Drosophila melanogaster: one gene and its partners. The protein of the gene in region 2 interacts with the protein of the main gene of each other region in a biochemical or structural test. Each region holds a gene or a part of one and is shown on either strand. Other genes may lie near its edges.

Region 1 (6,906 bases), on a different chromosome or scaffold from region 2:
AGATACACAAACCGGTAAGACTTCCCAGTCAGCAGGGGGCCCGAAAATCGTGACGCCAGTTGCAGGAATAGCAATATTATAACCGATATGGATGGTACCGGGACTTGGGCGTAGGCGTATCTGGGGGCATGCCAAGGCGGCAGCTGAACAAGCTGACGCAGCTCAGAAATCTGCTTACATCTGCTGTCTGTTGCCGTAGGATGGTAGGAAATCAGACAGACTCGCTTCTCAGGACTTATGCAGCTTATAAAACTTTGCCCTCTGCATTTCCCCTCCACTGACAGAAACGCTCTACTTTTAAAGTGGCGTCAGTTCGGTTTCCCTTTGCCACGGCCGCCCGACTGCACCATTTTTGTTGCTGTGCGTTATAATCCGCTTTTTGTGATCGGATTATGTCCTGTGTAGCACCTAATCCCCGCACAGGAGTGCGACCAGCGTACACATGTTGCCAACGAGCACCACTTCCACATCTACACCTACAACTACACCACTCCCATTCCCTTTTTCAGTTCCAATCCGATTCCATCCATCCGCACTGATCCCGCAGTCGCAGTCAACTTTAATTACGCACTGGACGTCGATGGATGGATTAGGGCGGCCTTACGCCCACCGACTGCCCGGAAAAGCAATTAAAATGTGTATATCCTGGATAAACAGGAGAACGTCCCTAAATGGAACCACCTTTCAAGTTATAAAGCTGTTAACATTTTAGAAAAAAACATGTTTTCATGGTTTGTTCCAATTAAACGTTATTAACAATAAGTTCGGAACTGAGAGAGTTTATAAAATGTACATCAACCAAGATGGTTTTTCTCCTAAAAATAACAAAAAGCTATTAATATAAGATTAAAAGTTTATAACAGGTACAAAGAACAGTAGACAGTAAAACAAATATACATATAATCTTTTTTAAAATTTTTTTTCCGAACTCGAAAATAAAACACTAGTAACGAGAATAGACTAGAGCGACCTCTCTTGTTCACTTCAAAAATATGTTGAATATCTATTTTGACATTGAGCGTACTAAATCAGAAAATCTTTAATGCACATATTGGCTTTGACACAATTACCTAGTTTAGAGTATAGAGTATTATTTCTAATCCTAAATTCGTTCAATCGGATCACAAAGGGGATGGTTGACTATAGATGCCATAAAATCCCAGCATTTTAAAATCCCGATGTCTGCATTAATGCCAGGTAGTTCGAGTAAAGTGAAAAGAGAGTCATTTTCCAAGATCTACCCGCCCTTATTTCAGGGTAATCAAGTTAATTAGAAACTTTACTTTTTTGTGCATTTAACGACTTTTATTTTTGGGGGCTGGGGTTTCCTAGCACCGGCGTCTGGCCATCGGCACTTTGCCTTCTCCTCGTTTTGCTTTGCTTGCATATTCTCATCAAATTAAAGTTAATTGTACATCATTAAAGGCGGATTCTAAGAATTCGTTTCGGGTCTCGTCGGTATCTAACACAAAATGGCGTCGTACGATTTTGGGTTTTCATTTATTCCGATGTCAAGCAATTTAATTACAACCTGTCGCATGCATGGGGTAACACACAAAGACATGACTTCATGAATATGTATGTACGACAAGCGTTCGTACATACGTATTTATGGGAGTATTAAATATGGCCTCATGGAGGGTAGGAAAATGCATTTAGGTGCAGTGTTTTTGAGATGACATATGGATGCCCGCCAGCGGCAACCTCCCCATCAGCTGTCACTTTTAATGCCGAAACCCGCCATTTTGACAGGAGCTACAAATGAATAGGTTTCTCTTTTCAGTTAAGCTTCAGTGATTTTGAGTGTTTTACCGAATCGGAAGTATAAAGGTAAAAAAGAAAGTCTCCACAAAAGCAGACCTTGTGTTTATGAATGTATAAAACCTTTCAAGCTAATTTTAATTAAAAACAAATTAATAATCATTTGAGTTTAATATGAGCAGAGGTATCATTGTTTACTATATATAGGAAAAAATTATCCGTGAATTTTAAGTCTTCTCTCTTTATTGAGAAATTCTTATTATGTTTTTCGCCCATAAAAGTTACTTAACGACATCATGTATTCCATGTATTCATGAGTAGGTACAGTTAGTTTTGTGAAGTCATGCATAAATTAGAATAATTTACTCGATGAAAAGGAAAAAAATGCCGTCAAGAGAAGAATTAGCATTCAAATCTAAAGGAAATCTAAAGGATCGCATAATTCTTACTGGATCATAAATAATTCTTTGATAATTCTTTTCATATTAATTATTTAACTATTCCGTGCTTGGCAGTTTCTTAAGTCAGATTGTTTTGTAGTTATGTACATGCATGTATGAAAATCTTTAACAGGATTAATAATCTAAAAGCTATTCCTTTGAAATCCCCATCATCATCCATTCTGAACTCCACACCTTGCCTCGGCGAAGTACTTTCCACTTGATAGTTTGCCCGCATCAGAAATGGGCATTAAGTGATCTGGAGGGGATTCAGGCGGGGGGGGGGGGGGGACTGGGCATGGAGTCTGGGGGTCTTAAGTGCCCCCAACGACCACAGCAAACACAACCGTTTGCATGATTGAGGGACGGATTGAATGAGTGCATGTCATTCCCAATCCCTGGTTGGGGTTCAAGAGAGAGTGGCCACTCCAAAAGGCCCACTCTAGGCGAACATTTATTTGCACGGTTGCAGGAGAAGTTTGAGTCTTTCATACAGTCAGGCTTCCGTAACTAGAAGTATCACATGCCGCATAGAAAGTTAGAGCTCGAATTTTTAATTACATACATGAAAACGTGTTTGTTTTATTTAGCACACATAATAAAATATCGTGACCAATTAGTGTCATCTAAAGCGGTTATCATTTGTGAAAAACATTAATTTTGTTTTATTGTAATCACAAGCCGTTGATTTTAATTCATAATGTTAGTGTTAAATGAAACTTTCAAATTGCCCAATTTACGTTGAAAATAAGGTAGTTATATTCTGTATGTCCCAAAATTATATTGGAAGTTCAGTTAAGGCAAGTTATCTGGCTGTACAGTAAGTAACTAATACAATGAAAATAAACAAAAAGGTGTAAAAGCAATTCAATAATTCTTTAGATTGAAGTAGTTAAAATATTATAGTATTTTTTTATTTTTCAGGACAATTATGTTCAAGCTTTCCACTAGGATGATCTACTTGGGTTCCACTGTAGCTTAAAGAGCAGCTCAAGCACGACGGAGAGCAAACAAAACACAGTAGAGAGCACACACACAACCACACACACTCTATTGCCGCTCATCTGGAGAGTGGCAGCTGCATGTTGCAGCTGATCTGCAATTGCAAGAGAGGGAGACCATCTTGACTTAGCCCTTCCACGTAAGTGAAAGCGAGGTAGCGACTGTCTAGAAACAGCTTGTTTTGCTCGCACTCATAGGGGAATCGAGAACCATCGGCACGAGACCCTAACTCACTACACAGTAAAAAAAAAAATTCTCAATCAGTAAGCTAATAATTAATGTTTAATTTGTACCTTTTTTAATTTAATTAAATTCTTGCATTAAGTTGGTATATTATTTTTCATTTTTTCATATAACAACTTAAAAATTTGTATATTAGAACTAATTTTAAAGTTGATTCAACGTTCGATAACATCACATTTCTTACATCTTAACTGGTATATCCAAGATTAAAACTGCATAGTCATATTAATTTTAAAATAATAGAAAACTATATATACACATATACTGTAAAATAGAGCAAAGTGCACGCCGTTTTTCTCACTGTAAGATCTCGGACTGGGCCGTGAAAGTGAAACACAACAACACTTGCCATTGCGCGCTGTTTGTTTGGTTGTGTGAATACGCTGCTTTGTTTGCCTTGGCCTGGGAAAAAGATAACAAACGCTTTTTGCACGAGACTCGATTCGAAACGCTTGATAAGGAGGACGCAGCACGAGCGCATCAAAATCCAACCAAAACAAAAGTTTACACTGAGCAGACTGCGCAGAGCAGGGGAATATGTGTATTGAGCCGGCTGTTTGTTATCAGCCGCAAGAGCACGTGTGATTAGGCGGCTTTAGCTAACCTCAACTTGGCGTTAGCTTATAGGTAACGAACGCGTGATACGGACTAGCAACATACCCTTTTCTCGGCACTGTCGCAGGGGTTGCTCAGACTCAGCGAAGAGGAGCTCAATGACGAGGTTGTGGGCGCACCGCTGGCCGTGTTTGGTGTGCTCATCTGGGGCAGGGCATCCGTGGGCACGGCATCCAGCTGCTCCTGCTTGATCCCGGCGATAAGCGGCAGGAAGTCGTTCTTTAGCTGCTCCAAATCCATATCCATGTTGGCGAAGTCCTGCGATTTAACCGCGTAGGCGGTTGCTGGCGATCGTTGAAATTAAAACGTGGGCGTGCTAATTATAGCAACTGATTTTTGGTTGACTGACCGACCGACCGAATGTTTCCCTAAAGGCTGTCGCCTTGAAACGGCATGACTATTGCGATTATGTTGCGGTATTATTGTTTTGGAATTAGTTGGGTAGTTAATCCATTCCAATGCTTACACGCACGCACACGCACAAACACACACAGGGCGCGCGCACCAATACACAGGAACTACACGAGAGCAGGCAAAAACAACGATTTGTGCTTGTATGGATGTTCACAAACGATTTTTCGCTGATTCTTAAAGTTTTGTTCGTAGTTGACTCCTCTTCAATTGGGTGGCTAATGCATTTTAATTTCACCTTCGACTTCTGGCTTGCAAAAATATTGGGTTCTCCCTCTCTCTTTCGCACAGAGCGACACAACTTTCGTTTTACTTATACACGACGTTCGCTCGAATTTCGCTGCTATTTTTCGGTCTGGCCGTCGATTTTTCCAGCGATTCGTGCCGCATTTCGTCCATACGCGGCTGCTATTCTTTATTCGCGCTGCGAGCGCGCTCTTAGTGCGGTTTTATTGGCGTAATTCGCTGCGAAAACACACGGTCTCACGGCGTTTGCTCTCGTTGGACGCTTCTTCTGTACAAAAAATGTTCAGCCATTTTGGATTCAATTAATTCATGTCGGCGTTGCCAGTACGACGGCATTTCGAGGGCTGTTACGCACGGCCGTGGAAACGTAAGCAGCTGAGGTCACACTAAACACGCGATCTGGCAATACCACAATTGAATTCGCCGTTCATTTCGTAAAAAATCATATTAATGTTGTAATACATGGTCAAGATGCCATTTATTTACAATTTAAAACTAATAACTTAGCCTGGTATTAAAAGGTTATAGTAAAATATAACATAATTTTTAAAATAAACTTGTAACGTCTTCGTTCTGTTAAGTCATAACGTTACGTAAAGCTTTGAACATTTTTCTCCACACAGCTAATTTAAAACTTAAGTAAATCAAAAGTAGCATTTCGGAAACTCAACTTAATTATTGAGCTAATTCAAAGAACGCGATTTTCGAAAAAAACATATTTGTATTAGCCAAACAGAGCTGTTAAATAAAACAGCTGATCCGTAACAGAGCAAGAAGAAGAAGCACAACCACACGTGTGTGAATTCCTCCACTTTAAATCCAGAATTGTTTACTTAATGTTTTTAAGACGACTTTTAAACGACTACACCAAGGCAGGTTAATTATTAGTGATCACACCTCCAATTCGAGAATTTATAATAATTAATTTTCTTACAATAGTTCGCCTGAAAACCCTTTGCAATCCCTGGAATCGCCACAAATCCTTCGCCGCAGCGATGTCAGAGGCTCTAGATAAACTGGAGGTGGAGAAGGAAGCCAGGAAAGAGGCCAAAGAACTGGAGGGCGAAGCCGTGAAGGACGCCAACCGCATCAAGAGAACACTTAAACGCAAGAAATGGGTCGATTGGAAGGAGCAGGACGAGAAGGATGCCGCCAACGGCGTGAAGCGAGCGCCGTTCGATCCCGCCGACCGGATCAAGCGCAAGAAGAGCGCCATCCTGCTTAGCTACTGCGGTGCGAACTACTATGGTATGCAGCGCAATCCCGGCATGCAGACCATCGAGGAGGAGCTCTTCAAAGCCATGCTAAAGCACAAGTGGATTACAGAGGACAGCTTTGAGCAGATTCAGATTTCCTGTTTCCAAAGAGCGGCCAGGACCGACAAGGGCGTCTCCGCCGCCCGCCAGGTGTGCTCCGTCAAGCTGCGTTAGTTTACTTATTCTATTTTACAAGACAATACTAAACCTATTCCTTCCTGCAGCTGAGGAGCTGGACCTGGAGGCCTTCAATGCCGATCTGCCGCAACAGATCCGTCTGTTTGGCGTAGAACGCGTGACTAAGGGCTTCAATGCCAAGGATCAATGCAATGCTCGGACCTACACCTACACACTGCCCACCGTGGCCTTTGCTCCGTTTGAGGAAAAGGTCGACGACGTGCACGACACCTTCCGGATTTCACCAGAGCTGCTGCAGAAGGTTAAAGAAACCCTGAAGCTCTACGAGGGCACGAAGAACTTCCACAACTTCACCAGCAAGAAGTAAATAAGCCAGGTTTATACTTCATTTCTGCTCCAACTAATATTTTGTTTACTACCCTTGTAGAAGCTTTCTGGATCCTTCGTCCAAGCGCTTCATCATGTCCTTTACGAGCAGCGAGCCATTCCGGAGTCCCCAGGACATCGAATTTGTCACACTTAAGGTTAAGGGTCAGAGCTTTATGCTGCACCAGATTCGCAAGATGGTGGGTCTAGCCATTGCCATTGTAAGGGGGAACACGACGGCGGCCACTTTAGAGCGGGCACTGACGGAGGAGCGTCTGGACCTGCCGATGGCCCCTGGACTGGGCCTCGTGCTGGACACAGTGCACTACGAGCGCTACAACGATCGCTACGGCAAGGACGGCATCCACAATCCGCTGACATGGCAGGCGCAGGAGGCGCAAGTCCAGGAGTTTATCGAGAGGGAGATC
Region 2 (8,818 bases):
GTAATTCACTGACTTAACTGCCCATCCGAATTCGAAATGGGCAAGTTTCCAGGTCGCATGTAATCAGCACAATCAATTGCCAATGCCATTTTGCTATTTCCATGGAACATTGAGCATTTTTCGTTGGCGATACCCACCAGGATTTGATGTAACTCGATTCGATTATTCGCTGGCTGCACTACAATCGTACATAATAGAATACGACTACATAGCTCGGTTGAAATACACTTGAATTTTAATTGGATTGCGTTCAAATGGCTTTTCCAATGAATCCGATTGTTTTGCTTCTTTTTTTCTCAATGTTTTCTTCATATATCTGCGCACTAATCAGTGTGCACATGCATATATATATATATATATATATATATATGCGAATGTGTTTATGCCCAAATTGTAGACACTAAAATAAGGTAAAAACAGCAAGGATTATGAATGCGTACACTCGACAGTACGGATATTACATCAATGCTATTGGTCTGCTATGGTAAACTTATTGAATTTTTCTCAATTTTATATCAATGCCTTTGTACACACACATACGCATATGCATATATGCATATGTACGTATGTATGTGCTTGTGTAGTTGGTATTGGATAAAAAAAAAGCACTTTCGCGTTTGATTTTTTTTTCCCGTGCGCTAAGTTTTCAGCTTCGATTGTTGGCATAATCAGCAGTCAGAAAAGATTTTATCTACAATATACCTATGATTCACTTTGGTTTGCTTTTCAACATTTATCTTGGTCCGAGATGACACAATTTTTAATTTTCCTATAACGACACGATGGTAAATACTTATACATACTCAATTTTTGCATTTACAAAATCGGTGTGACCAGCGTGCGAGTGACGTGAACAGCCAATTCGAGGCGTTCTCCACTGGTCGGTATATTTTCGCATTGCACAGGTTGTGCATTCAAACAGCTGATAAAAACAACACCCTTCATTGTTTATTTTAAACCAATTGGGGTAATTTAATTAGCCTAATTATGTTAAATAAATGTTTTATAAATTGTGTAGTGATCAATTCAAAAATAAACAACATTTAAAATAATTAATATATTTGGTAATTGTCACTCACTCTGGTCACACACCAAGACCGTCTATCATGTCGTGCGCAAAGCCGCATATTTTGATTATTGAACCGTTTTACGGGGGCAGTCACAAACAGCTGATCGGCGCACTGATCGAGGGTACACATATATACATACTTAGAATATTACAACTAGACATACAAACTTCACTCCAACTTATCATCCAATTTGTAGGTCTCAACCATGGCGACAGCGAGATATTCAGCCTTCCCGCCAAGAAATGGCACTGGCGAGCACGCACCTCTGCCCTCCACTTCGCCCAGCTGATTCCGCGCGATCACGCATTCCGGGTGCTTTTCGCCAGCTCCGTGCTCAGCCTGGCCGAGCTGATTGGTCTGCGTCCGGATCTGGCCGCTTGCCGGAAGATCGTCTACTTCCACGAGAACCAGCTGATCTATCCGGTGCGCGAGGTGAAGCAGCGCGATTGTCAATACGGTTTCAATGAGATACTCTCCTGGTAGGTGACCATCCTGTATACCCAACTTGCATCCATAACCCATCCATTTTCAGTCTTGCCGCAGACATGGTGCTCTTCAATTCCCAATTCAACTGCAACTCGTTTTTGGATAATGTTCAGCCCTTTCTGAATATGCAGCCAGACTTTAAAATCAAGCATATTCGCGAGCAAATCGAGAAGAAATGCCAAGTGCTGTACTTTCCCGTCAATTTCGAACGGTTTCCCATTCGGAAGGAGTGCGTAAAGGGGGAGACTGCTGAGGATCTGGATGAGAAGTGCATCCATCTTATTTGGCCACATCGCTGGGAGCACGATAAGAATCCCAAACTACTGGTGGATACGCTCTGTCAGCTCCATGAGCGACAAGTGGACTTCAAGGTGACTATTTGTGGCGAGAGTTACCAGGAGATACCGGAGGAATTCGAGCATATACAGGAGAAACTGGGCAGCAAGCTGGTGAACTTTGGCCATCTGGAGCGTGAAGAGTACTTGAAGACCCTGCTGACTGGGGACATTGTGATATCAACTGCCGACCATGAGTTTTTTGGAGTAGCAATGCTGGAGGCCGCTTTCTGCGGCTGTTATCCCATTGCGCCCAACAAATTGGTCTACCCGGAAATCTACCCAAAGGAAAACCTCTACAACACCTCCAATGCGCTGACGAAGAAGCTCTACAACTTTTGTAGAATGCCGAGGGTCTTTCGCAAGCAGCGCGATCAATTCTTTGAGAACTTTAATTTCGATCGTTTTTCGGCGAAAGAACTAGTGCCAAAATATCTGGACATATTCAATAAACATATTGCAGACGAACAAAGTTAGAAATCGAAGGTTTGGCAAATGTCTATCAAAATATTCTCTGTAATATAATAGATATATTTTTGAATAAATATATCTCTCTTCTGTAACCTACAAAGCCAAAAAAAAACGATATATATATGTAAGTCCTTTGTGTTAAAACACGCTTCATTCACTTTAAGCATTTATTTATTTATGAAATATCCGAAAAAAATGGGATACAATTTAAGGTGGATGTAACCAATAATGCCATAAATGTAGCACAATAAATTCTATTTCGAAAACACAATTTGGATGAAAATTTGGGGATTCATATCTACAATATTATAAAGATGATGCGTATAGAATTTTGTTTGTAATACCTGAATATAGCCACATAGAATTTAGAGCGAACCAAAGCGGTCGAACGAATTCACCAAACACTTTTGTTTCTCGAAGTTCAGGGAGCGCGAAATACAGGACAGATTTTTGAGGCACGCATAAGCCTGCTCCTCCATAAACATTTGATCTCTGGACTTGCCACAAGCGACGCGTGCCCACTTGGGATCAATGACATGATCGTAGGTCAAGCCACCGCGGTACTTGTTAATTCTGCGATTATGGAATGGTCGATTCTCCTTTCTGCCCTCGTCGAACGGCAGGTCCTGTTCGCTGCACAGCGTGTCCTTCAAAATATCGCCCGGCGATGTGAGAAACTTGCTGGGCGTCTCGGTTTCGAAGGGTTGAATCCTCTTGGCGGAGCCAGCGTTGTATGGATGATTGGAGCTCCAAGTTGAGAGCAATGACTTCCTGGCACGTTTCATATGCGGCGGCGACTGAGCATTGTATTCGGTGCTTAGCGTTGAGTTCTGATCGGCGGCGCCCATCATTTTGGAATTGTTTGCGGTCAGCGAGTTGCTCAGATGCTCTTCATGGATGATTTCGGCCAGATCCTCCACCAGACTGGATGGGCTGGAGGGCTCGTATCGACGACCGTCCCTCTTCTTGCCGATGGCAGCAAGTGCCTTTTTGAAGGGCGTTGGTGTTCGTGGTCCAAGTTGACCTACAAATAACGATGATTGTGTGTATTCAAGATGCATTTGAAGCCAACAGTGGCTTGTACTTACTCTTGTGTGGAGTTTCTATCGACGATGTCTCCATTTCCTTTTTGATCTCCATTCCAACGCGATTATAGACCTTGGTTACCGGCGTGCTAGCCCGCAGATCCATATCTTCAAAGGTGGTCAGGCAAGGCGACTTGAGGAAGTGACTCGGTGAAAAGGGTAGCGACTTAATGGGCGATATGACGGGCGAACTCGGTGGTCGCGACCTGGCGTTTCCGGCGGCTTCTTCCTGGTTGAATGTCTCACTTGATGAACATCCTGCCTGATGGTGAGTTTCGGGAATGTGTTTGCGTGTACGCTTCAATATGATCGGTGTTTGGCGCGGCATGGTCAACTTAATGAGATGCTGCATACTGAGGTGTGCCAGATTGGATCCCTTTTGATGATCGTCTTGTGATTCCTGTGCCAGATCACCACCTTTCACGGCAGTAACCGAAGCGCCATCGGCGTTTTCGGATTTATTAACTGCCTCACCACCAGATTCCTTGTTATGTTGCATATTATTCATACACTTGCTGATGCCACCGGACTTGATCAGCGTGATGAGATGGGTTCGCGAACTCTTCAAATCGCTACCAGATGCATTAACCGATCTGCGTTCGACGTCATATTTGCGACGCATTGTTGAATTCCAATGGTTTTTAATGGCGTTATCGGTGCGTCCGGGCAGACGTTTGGCAATCTTTGCCCACTGGTTGCCCAGCTCCAAGTGAGCCTGGTAGATAATCTCGTCCTCCTTTTCGGTCCAGGCCGTTTTCTTGATATTCGGATTGAGGTGGTTGTGCCATCTCTCGCGGCACTGTTTCCCAATTCGTCCGTTCAGATATCGTGCAATTAGTGTCCATTTCTTGGGCCCGAAGTTGCGCACCAGCTTAATAACCATGTCGTCCTCGTCCCGCGTCCACGGGCCCTTGATTAGCTCCGGATTGAGGACTTTGGCCCAACGCTGCTGCACTTGCTGTTCCAGGCGATCCTTGAAATGCGGTCCGATAATCTCCCAGTTCTCACCGTGCGTCTCCACCAGCTGCTTGAGCAACACATCCTCGGACTTGGACCAGCGTTTGCCGAATCCATAGTTCGGATGCACTGCACCGATGCTAGTTTTACCGCTTTTGTTCTGTCCCTTTTGCCCCGTCGTCTTGGAGTCCTGTAGTTCGGGCGAGTCCAGTGGATAGCCCGAATCGGCATTGCTGTTCTGTTGTGAATCCTTGTCGCAAACTTGGGTATCCTCGTTCTCCGAGTACTCGGACTCCTCCGAATCCGAATTGCTGCCGTAATTCATCAGCTCCTCGCCGTTTTCAGTGCTCGCACTTGCCATCTTAAGATCAACTTTATAGGTATATATATATGAATAATGGCGCTCTTTGTATATATGTGTATGGGTTCTTTAACGCTGCTTGCGGGGCGAACAAAAGTGATAGATCTCCGGCTCTGACTTGTTCCCACGCTGGAAACGATGAACGTCGCGTTTGCAGTACAAGCACTTGGGCAAATGATCCAGAATATGCGGATGGTAGAATATGTAGTGCGAGCAAATGTCGCTGTACGAGTTACACTTGAATTGATTTCCGCACGTCAGGCAGTCGACCAGTTCACGTTGATGATCGCTGCGCAATATTGGGTGCGTCGCATCGCTCTCGGTCCGCCCAAAATCGAATAGTTTTGTTTGCTGCTCCTCGAGGCGATTTTGGTTTGGATTCGTGTTCTTTGTTACTTGAAGATTACAGATATTTGTGGACATACTCATTCAGGCAGCGAACTAAAAAGCAGATGCAAGTTTTACGATATTACGTTTATGCCAAACATTTTGATGCTCTATATTTAGCACTGAGGAAAACGGGGGAAAAAAATTACCACTCGCACATTTGTCTTCATCTAAAGTGGTGCTACCGTTATTTCAAATTCAAACTGCTGGGCTATGGGTACACACTTTGGTGTTTTTGATCAGTTCATTCACGTTTTCACACTGGAATTTTACGGCGTCGCATCTTATTATATTAAATGTAGTACTTAGTGTGACCGTTACACGAGCACTAGCGTTGTAATTCAAAACGATTAAAATCTATCGATAAATAATCACTACGGTAATCGGCACGTTTCCACTAGAAGTCAATATCTTGTACGATAGCTGGGATAGTATCGATATTTAGCTATCAACTTCTTGGAAATATTGTTAAAAAGTTGCCATCGGATAAAATAATTTTGTCAGAATTGCCAAATTTAGTTGTCAGTAGCATTTATAGGGACTGAAAAATATATTTATAAAACTATTAACTTCACCTATACATTTAAGATATTTCCATTGAACGCATCACTTCAACGTTAATTGCTATGTTTCTTTAGTTTTCAATTGAAATGCAGTTTTTTATTTTGTAAAATACTATAAAATTAAAAATTTTTCCAAGGAGGGGTTAAAGCTTAACATCTCCTGGATTTAAAACTTGACGTATATTAATATTAATACGTGAATCGTCCATATATCTCGAAAAAGGCTCCCAAAATTGAGGGTTGCCAACATCATGAAATAAATCTTTATCAATTGTACGCGTTTTAATATCTGCATTATCGACATCTTCAATTATCAGTGATAAAGTCGCGGAAGCCTGAGTTTTGATGATACGAGGAACTGCGTGATAGCATAGACGCGATTCTCCGGACATTATCATAACGTCCCCGGATTGAAGGTAGATAGCGGTTGGCTTTTCTTCTAAAGATCTTCCACCAATTAGAAATATTGCAGTCTGACCAAAACTGTAAGCATAAAATTAAAAAAAAATTAGCTGCACGGATATGTTTAATCCGTGATATATTACCTAAAAGAAAACAAAGGGGCCGATTTGTTTGGTTCAGAGTGATCTGTGTGACCCGATAACGTACTACCAACTGGATAGTAATTTACAATTGCGGCTTCTGGCTTAAAATCCGCGTATCCCAACGCTTGCGCAAACAATCCGCATAGACTGCTCAAATCTTCGGGAAACGGCGACTGCATCTCCTCATCATAGATCTTCGTGTCCCAGTTGTGATGATATCCAAATGTCGTCCAACGCATCGCGGATTTTATACGTTGGAACTCAACGCCATCGCTGCACAGATTAAGCTGTTTCCACCAGTCCGACCTGACGGATTCATCGAAGAGCCTTTCATTTAAATTGACTATATTTGGCGTTCGCGGAAAATCCCGCAGACATCGGGCGCTCCAATAACGCCGGCCTCGTTCCGAGAATGGATTCCGAATCACAATAATGCCGGGATGGTTAGTTAATGTATAGGTTCGCCAATCTTTTGGCGATTTAACGCCTGGCATTGTCTGTAGGCTTTCTACATTGCTGATACTTAATCGTTGAACAATATTCTGAGGGGAATGTAGAAATCATAATTCAATTGCAACGGATCGAGTACTTACATTATCACTCTTTTCTTGATCATTCCCCTTGACTACACAATCATCGATCTTAACAACTTCCGTTAAATCAGGACTGGTACTTTTGCACTTGTACTGCTTAAAAACTAGCTTGAACATGCTTCATAAACAATAAGTACAATATAAACAATAAGTTAATATAAACGATAGCAATAGTGTGACTGCGTTTGGAGAAATCTTAAATGCTTTTGAGCACGTTTAGAAATCAGACATGTGGTGGAAATACTATGGGATAGATATAAAAATTAAAAATGAATGCAATTCATAAGAGACATTGCCGAAAAAGCTCGAATGTCCTTTTCATGGAAAAAATTTTAAGCCTTTTTTCATGAGGTGATTCATTTGTGATTAATCTTATCGATATAAAGTTATCGATATATGAACGGGACTTTTAACTATTTTGAAATATTTTTGTTGTTTTGAGACCGATTTTTTCATTGTTTACGTTTTTGCAGTGATCGTTTTCATTATTTCGGTCGAAGATACGTCTTAAGGGTTGCACAGGAAAAAATCAAGTGGGAACATTACACTTCAGAGCGATAATAGATCTTTATTTTTTATATTTTTATGAATTAATATTAAAAAAGGAGTTGAAATAAGAAAATGGTATATTTATATGACATATTTATATATTTATATATGTTGTAGTTATTTTACTTTCATGTGAGGGGGCGTGCTTAATACTATATTCGGTTCAAAAGAAAGGGGTACCACATTGTTTATATAAAATAAAATATGTTTTTAAAATATAACGTCTTTTGACAAATAAACTTTGAATAAATAAAGACAAGTTGGTATATTTGCCGGCTCTCTCCGTCCGCAGTGTGAACAGCCTGGCTGCCGAATATGTATCAATGCTATCGATATCCGCATACATCGATACTGCTTCCTTGCACCCTTAATTTGTTTCTAGGTGTTGGCTGCCAATTGTAGAGTGCAAATGAAAAGTTACAGATTGGTGGCTTCGTTAACAAAATTTTCAGTTATTTGTGTAGTTGAAGACGGGAATTTGTTTTGCGTATAAAAAGTTAACACTGCGTGTAAGTAACGTATTGTCGTCATCAACAAACTGTCCAGTGAATGAAAATTGAAAGAAAAATTACTGATCTATGGTAATGTGTGTGTATGTGCTAAAAGGAAAAAAAAATTTTTCATACTCGCTGAACGACGAGTGATGAAAATGCAGTCTCGATAGTTTTGCGCCTACATATATGTATGACTATTGCACAGATTTGGTTGTTTTTTTTTTCTAAACGATTGCCAGTCGGCATGGAAAATTAAATGAAATGAGCTCCATATATTTTGTGCCTGTGCCAGTGCCTTCCCAACGAAAAATGTTCAACGTTTAAAATTGATTATTTTTTTTTTATCTATTTCCCTCCTGCTCTTTGTCATGTGTACGCTTACGCGGTTGCTGCGCGTGCGAATGGGACACCGATTGCCGCGACTGTTTTTGTCTCACCGCCCGCTTTCGGGAACTTCTGACCTGCTTTCGCTGCCGCGCTTTCAATTGCGCACGGCTCGCATCCACTAGTCGTGCTCCTTGCTCCAATCGAAAGGGCCACTTGCGCCGCGGTGGTGGTGCAAAACTTGCAATTTTGGTGTACAAAAAAAGCAAAAGGAATATATCCCATATATCCTACCCATCTATCGGAAGAACGGAATTCGAAATCCAGCACATAAAAAGCATAAATCACATCAAAAAATTCGCATTTTCTCTGGTCCTTAGCACCAGATCGCTTTTTATGCATCCAATTCGGTTTCCTCTTTTTTTTTAGTATACCATCCCATCCGCGAGATAACATTCTGTATTAAACAAAACGCCCAACATCCTAATTACAAATCAGACGGGACGGAAAATCGAAAAAACTATAGGAACCTCTCTCTCCCCCCCCACTAACGTAGTTTATGTGTATTTAACAAGCGAAGAACTTTCTGCAGAGGTCT
Region 3 (6,039 bases), about 10 Mb from region 2:
TCAATGGCCTCTGAACGTTCAAACAAGTACATATTGCGAAGTGCTACCTATTATCATCAATTAACCTTTAGCTTCTTTGTGTGCCATTCACTTTATAAGAAGGTTATATTTCAAAAGAAACCATTGACGCGGGTTTCCAAAGTTTGTTGGTATGACGTTTCGTTCAACTTTTGTTAAGTGCAAGTTCCTCGATTTCCGACCTTTTTGCAATCGTTTGCAATCGATAATGCGCACCACGATAAGATCCTGTAAAGTGCCTTTTAACATTTCGAAAACCGAAGATTCCGAATTTCCAACGTAATGCCGATTATTTAGTGGGTTTTAGCCTTCTAAAGTGCATGTACCCGTGGTTATATTTAAGTTAAGACCTTGTCGAGTGCACTCTGAGTTTTTCTTTTTTGTTTTTTTTTTTTTTGTGGCTGGGGGATGTGAAGGGAAGGGAAAGGAAATCAATCGGAACGCAAATAAACAATCGAAATTTCGGGCGCGTGCTATCTGCCGAGCGTCCGGGTTTTTTCGACTACGTAACAACGGGCGGGCTGCAGTGGAAAATTTTCTAGCTGGGTCGCCCGCCTGCTGCGCACTTTCACCTCCCCCGCCCCGCCCCCCCACAAACACTACATGGAAAAGAAACGGAAGAAACGCCAACGGATTGGTGATTGGCAGAGGGGGCAGTGAGGCTGTCTGCCTTGGCTTGGTTAACAAAGCTCACCTTTCTGATCGCCTTGGAATCGCCGGCTCTGGTGGGAATCAACGTGTTGTCCAGGTCAAAGTAAAAGGCCCTGATTTTCGCACATGTCGCATCGAAATGTGAATGTGTGGCTGTCAATTGCTTGCCGCAATGGAATTTGCTAGCTGCCATGAGAGTCGTCGAGCGGAGGGGGGGATGGAGGGTCAGCGAGGGGTCACTGTCAGGAGTGGAGGGGTGGTAGCCGGTTGCTTGGTTAGATGGATGGATGCAAACGTAGAGATCCAAGAACAACTTTGGTGCAATTCAATCCGCCAGCGGATTTGCGCTTTGAAATTGGCGCCAAACGAAACGAAACGAAATGTACGAGCTGCACGACTGCAGCAGCACTGCAGTATTTTTCTATTTTCCTCGAGCGGACTGGCAAAAGTTTCCGCTTCTCGCGCGGCGAAGTTAAAACGGCAACTGAATGACAGCGACAAAAAAAATAATGAAACGGAACGGGAGCGGTCGCAGTAATGTCGAGAGACGGGGTAGCGGGGCGGCGGAACAGGTGAGCGCGTGTGTATGAGTGCTTGTTGACTGAGTGAGAGCGGAGCAGCGAATGAAAAACCGAAAGAAAGTGCGAGGGCGCATGGGAAAACAGTGGTGGCCAAAAGTCTGCGTATGCGAACAGTGCTACCAGGCGGCGGCGCCAATTGATAAAAACTTGATAAGATATTGTTATTCCTTAAGATTTTATATTATTATTAAGATGTTCTTGAATAAGTTTATTTCAATAACTGGTTAGACATCCGTGTTGTGTTGTTCTGGACAACTACTGCGCAGCACATGTGCTTTTTACGGGCACATATTTTTTGGCGCCACTGTGCGAAGTGTGCCAAGTGCCGTTTGCGCGCCAGAGCGAACGAGAGCAGGCGACCTAGCGCAGAGTTGTCTCTATGCGCCGTTAAACGACCGTGAGTGGAAAAGAGAGCACGATAGAGGTCGCGGAGAGGTTCGCGTTTCTCTGCTACGACGCCTGCTCTCCACTCTGAATTTAGTATAAGTCGAGGCACGCTCATTTCCTAATTGTTGTGCCATTTATTTTTAACTTCTATTAATAAAACCAGGAAAAGCAATAACAACAGTTCTTTGTTTACCAAAAATATCAGTTGTTTTATACTTCCTGGTGCTTTCTAGCACTGGCTTGGCGGTAAATCGATAGTATTCGATAGTGATTGTTGAAAGTGGCAACGCTATAGTTTTTGTTTAACGAGGTGGCAAGTGATTAGCCCACGGATTTTTTGGCATCTTTCCGTGTTTATTTTCAATAGTTTTTGGAGTTTTTCAACATTATCCGCGATGAGCAACGCAGAGACAACTACGGATTTGCTTTCTACAGGTGAGTAAATATTTAAATCACATGAAAGGCGCCATAAAACGAGGTTTTCTTGCAGAAACCATTCTAAAAGCGGCGGACGAGGAAGTGGAGAAGGCTTCAGCGTCCAGCAGTAGTACGTTATTGGCCGAAAAGGATGTCCCGGAGGTCAAGGAGCGGCCCATAACGCCGGAAGACGAGCTCATCTCCATGGAAACTCTGCGACCCTCACCTGTCCAATGGCCAGAGCGTTGTAAGTGTAGAAAACGTGAGCACGAAGAAATTGGCGCCATTTTTAACGCATATCTTTATTTTCGATTGCTCCAGTTCCCGGAATGGACGAGTTCCTCTCCATGAGCGACACGCCGATGTACACGCGCAGCACCAACTACACCAGCAATCTGACCGATGATGATATGGTTAAGATTAATGGTAAGTAGCTGCAAAGTCAATGAGATTTAAGAATAGTATATTAAAGAATAGCATATCCATTACCTACTTTTCTATTCCAGAACTAGCCCAGCTCCCTCCCGAGGATCTGATCGATAAAATAAAGTCAATGCATGATGAAATTTACCAGCTGGGACTGCGTGAGGCAATGGAGATGACTCGTGGGAAACTGCTGGGCATCTTTGACCGGGATCGCGCTCCTAAGCGGCAGCCATGAGGCTGGATGATCCGATCCCTAAGAATGGGACTGTCGAGGATCTCGTTGAATTCGCATTAGGAACATAGGTGTAGTTTCATAGTGTACATAGTGCTATTTTTATAGTGAGTAATGCGTGTTGTGAATGATTTATCGCTATTTTACAAAGATAAATAGGCAGGCGTTTGAACAGTAACTAACGTTTATTTCCATTAAAGCATTTTGGGTCCTACACGTCGCTTGTATTACAGATACATTTGAGGAGTCGGAGGAGAGATGAAGTTGACGGATTGGAGGGAAAGGAATGCAGAAGGATCTGGAGTTTTTGGAGAAGGCACAGTAGATTTCGCTATGCAGGGACATTAACGCAACAAATAACTCTGTCTATGTGGGATTGGATGGATCGGTTGCGCTCTAGTGCGTCCTATTAATACTTAACTAAATGCTTTCGTTCGGATTTATGCAGTAGCCTTCCCCACGATCCATCCCAATTTGGGAAAGTGTGTTGGTGCTGATGGTGTGCTTACATGCTGTTTCCCGTGAATATATATCCAGTAACGTGCATCAATTCCCATTACTCCTGCCACTGCATTCCGAATCGCTGCTCAAAGGTGATCCGGTTAAAGACGCCCGCATCGGCCAGCTGCAAGGGATCGGTGTAGTACGCAAAACGCCGTATATCCAGCATGGCCAGGTCGAACATTTGCTTCCAGCTGGTCAAATCTGTAACGCTCATGTGGATCGGCAGCTGGGGATCCGGTATATCGATGGCCGCCTGCAGACGGTCAAACGCCTCGGCAATTGGTCCCACCGATAGATTAACCCAGTACTCCGCTGGAAAGCGCTTGTTCTCACAAAACGGCGCTCCCTTGCGCATGATGAAGACCAGCATGAGTATCTCATAGCGCTCGGAGCTCTCATAGAAGCGCTTGGTTCGGGTCTTCTCCACGAAATCGATGAGAAGGATCAGGGGAGTGTAGTTCTGGAGGTGCATCAACAGCTCCCGGTCGGTCCAAAGGTAACGGCCGCCTTTGACGGTCAGCAGGCTCATGTTGCTGGCGAGTTGTTGATGCTGCTGCTGCTGCTGTTGCTGCTGCAGCTGGTGGTGTTGCTGCTGCTGAAGGTGTTGCTGTTGCTGCTGCTGATGTTGGTGTTGCTGCTGCTGTTGCTGCTGGTGTTGCTGGTGCTGCTGCTGCTGGTGTTGCTGCTGCTGGTGCTGCTGGTGTTGCTGCTGCTGATGCTGCTGGTGAATGCCGCCGGCGGATGGGGCTGGAGTTCCGGTGTTGGATGCCACCTGGCTGGGCATGGCGACCACAATGCCCGTCTGTCTCTGGCAGCCAATCTCCTCCACCATGTGCGCTGCAATGACGACAAAATGCATTTAAGGCAAGTGCCTAAACCAGGCCAAGGTCGCTGCGTTGGCCAAACACCCAGCCACCCCCTGCCCGCCCTCATTATTACTTGTTGCAAATAGCGAGCAGCGAAGAGCGAACGTGCAGCAAGTCAAAGGCTATGGCAATTGCAATTGCAATCAACTTACTGCGTGCCCCAATCAAAGCGGCAGAAATTATGTGTGTATTTATGAGGCGGATGGATCAGCGGGTCTGGATTTGGATCGGGGTACGAATGTGGCCCCCAAGAAGCAGCGGCCTATCTCCTCCGGCAGCTCTGCGTGTTTGCCGTGCGCCCTGGACGATTGTTGCCACGCGAGTGCCTTCCCAAGTCCGAAGTCGGAGCCACTCGGACCCGCATTCTCGTTGCACTCGGGCTCAGTTTTCTCGGTGACTCGGTCGCGCCAGCCGATGGGCATGTGTGGATGTGCATATAGGGACTCGGCCCGTTTGGCAATGAACTTATTGGATGCGTTCTGCGCTGGCTGCGGTTCGCAGATTTGTTACCAAGCGGGCTGCCAACTCTAAAATGTATGCCCCCCAAGCGGTAGATTAAAAAATAAATGTGAAAAACATATATGTAAGCAGTCTACAAAAAAGTAATTTTATGTTTTTAAGACAAGAACTTAAAAGTCTTAGCATTAGTCAATTTCCTATGATATCTTATCTATTTATCATGCTTAAAAATATATAAAATAAACATATATTGTACATATATATATATTATTATACAAATTGAGTTCATATTTAAATACGATATGTAAGATTTGAAGAGTTTTCGAGCACCCTGTTCTATTCGCCTTTGATTTGATTGAAAGCTTATTAAAGCTCATCAGCTTATCAGCAAACGAAATCGAAGTTTGATGCACATAAAAGTGGTATTAAATTTCCAATAAAGGTAGACTGTTGATTTAAGTCAACCTTGAGCGGTAAATAAATAAACAGATTGGGAAAACATAATGCACATAATGCAAACGGTTTTGAGTAACTGCATTTGCATTTAATATGACCCCACATTTTCCCACAAAGCTATAAACAATATCATGATTAACGTATAATTTTTAATAGTAATAAACATCCGTACAGAGAAATTCAAAATGCATGTACAACAATGCATAGCATTGTTAATAATATATATTCTTAGGAGAATTAGACGCGCCCCACTAAATACAATCAGAAAATTACAGCCAATGTCAATAAATTTGAAAAAAAAAAAATAACATATCCTTGGGACGACTAAACTTGAAAACTCTTTTACATAGTCACCTAACCCTTTGTTAAAGATTGCCCACCCTACGATCAAACTCGTCCTTGTGCTCGTTCTTTAGATACTTCCGCATCCCGACGAGCATGTAGCGCACTTTGGGTGCGGACAGGACATCCAGGAGTATGGCCATCAGGGCCTGAAAGCTCTCATAGGTGCCATTCTTGTACTCCAGCAGCGCCTTGCCAAAGCGGCGGAATTGATCTTGGGTGACCAGGCTGCGTAGCTGCAATTCAAGGTAAATTAATTAGTAGTAGTAGTAGTAGTATGGAAGAAGTCTCGAAGGTATCTCACCTCCCGGAGAAACGCGGCCCTTTCCTCGGGTGCCTCCTTAGCCTGCGAACTACTTGGCTCCACCTTGATGTTCTCCACCAACTTGTATCGCTTTTTGGTCACCTGGCTGGAGGATTCCGGCGCCGTTGGTGAGCTTCGCTCCCGCTTGTGAATCTTCACCAGACCAGAGGAGCCACTTTTACTATCTGTGCAGCAGTTGAAATCGATACTCTGGGAAAGGGGCAAAACAAGAACAAGTCCTAAAGAACTAAATAAACACAGTGTAATAATAGATTCATGGGAATCTCGTGTTTACCGAGACATTTGAGTCCAGTCGACTCATAAAGTCCATGGCATTCGGCGCCGCACCACCCAATTTATGTCCAGCGGCACTCGCATAATCGGCGGGTGTCCATG

What was found. Proteins that work in one complex are often made in the same cells at the same time.
Region 1: the proteins of Myb (region 2) and bon form a complex in vitro, tested with the Drosophila melanogaster proteins (one study listed by BioGRID).
Region 3: the proteins of Myb (region 2) and lin-52 form a complex in vitro, tested with the Drosophila melanogaster proteins (one study listed by BioGRID).

Annotation. Positions count from the first base shown.
Region 1 is NT_033777.3:20,591,245-20,598,150, reverse strand, and holds the start of bon (bonus), read right to left. Parts: upstream 5,013-6,906; 5' UTR 4,308-5,012; coding exon 4,107-4,307; intron 1-4,106. Other genes in the region: Pus1 (pseudouridine synthase 1), read left to right, coding at 5,555-5,594, 5,658-6,143, 6,199-6,475, 6,540-6,906.
Region 2 is NC_004354.4:15,852,340-15,861,157, forward strand, and holds Myb (Myb oncogene-like), read right to left. Parts: upstream 5,485-8,818; 5' UTR 5,338-5,484; exon of another isoform or gene 5,275-5,337; 5' UTR 5,189-5,274; coding exon of another isoform or gene 4,835-5,188; 5' UTR 4,766-4,834; coding exon 3,451-4,765; intron 3,387-3,450; coding exon 2,728-3,386; 3' UTR 2,493-2,727; downstream 1-2,492. Other genes in the region: CG15914 (uncharacterized protein), read left to right, coding at 1,107-1,191, 1,267-1,549, 1,603-2,368; CG46440 (uncharacterized protein), read right to left, coding at 4,835-5,188; AlkB, read right to left, coding at 5,859-6,198, 6,261-6,802, 6,854-6,970. UniProt on the Drosophila melanogaster protein: DNA-binding protein that specifically recognizes the sequence 5'-YAAC[GT]G-3'. Component of the DREAM complex, a multiprotein complex that can both act as a transcription activator or repressor depending on the context.
Region 3 is NC_004354.4:5,750,878-5,756,916, reverse strand, and holds lin-52 (lin-52), read left to right. Parts: upstream 1-1,958; 5' UTR 1,959-2,032; coding exon 2,033-2,072; intron 2,073-2,127; coding exon 2,128-2,301; intron 2,302-2,375; coding exon 2,376-2,480; intron 2,481-2,560; coding exon 2,561-2,715; 3' UTR 2,716-3,268; downstream 3,269-6,039. Other genes in the region: CG15771 (uncharacterized protein), read right to left, coding at 713-862; CG15772 (uncharacterized protein), read right to left, coding at 3,269-4,048; Rtel1 (regulator of telomere elongation helicase 1), read right to left, coding at 5,363-5,575, 5,644-5,853, 5,939-6,039.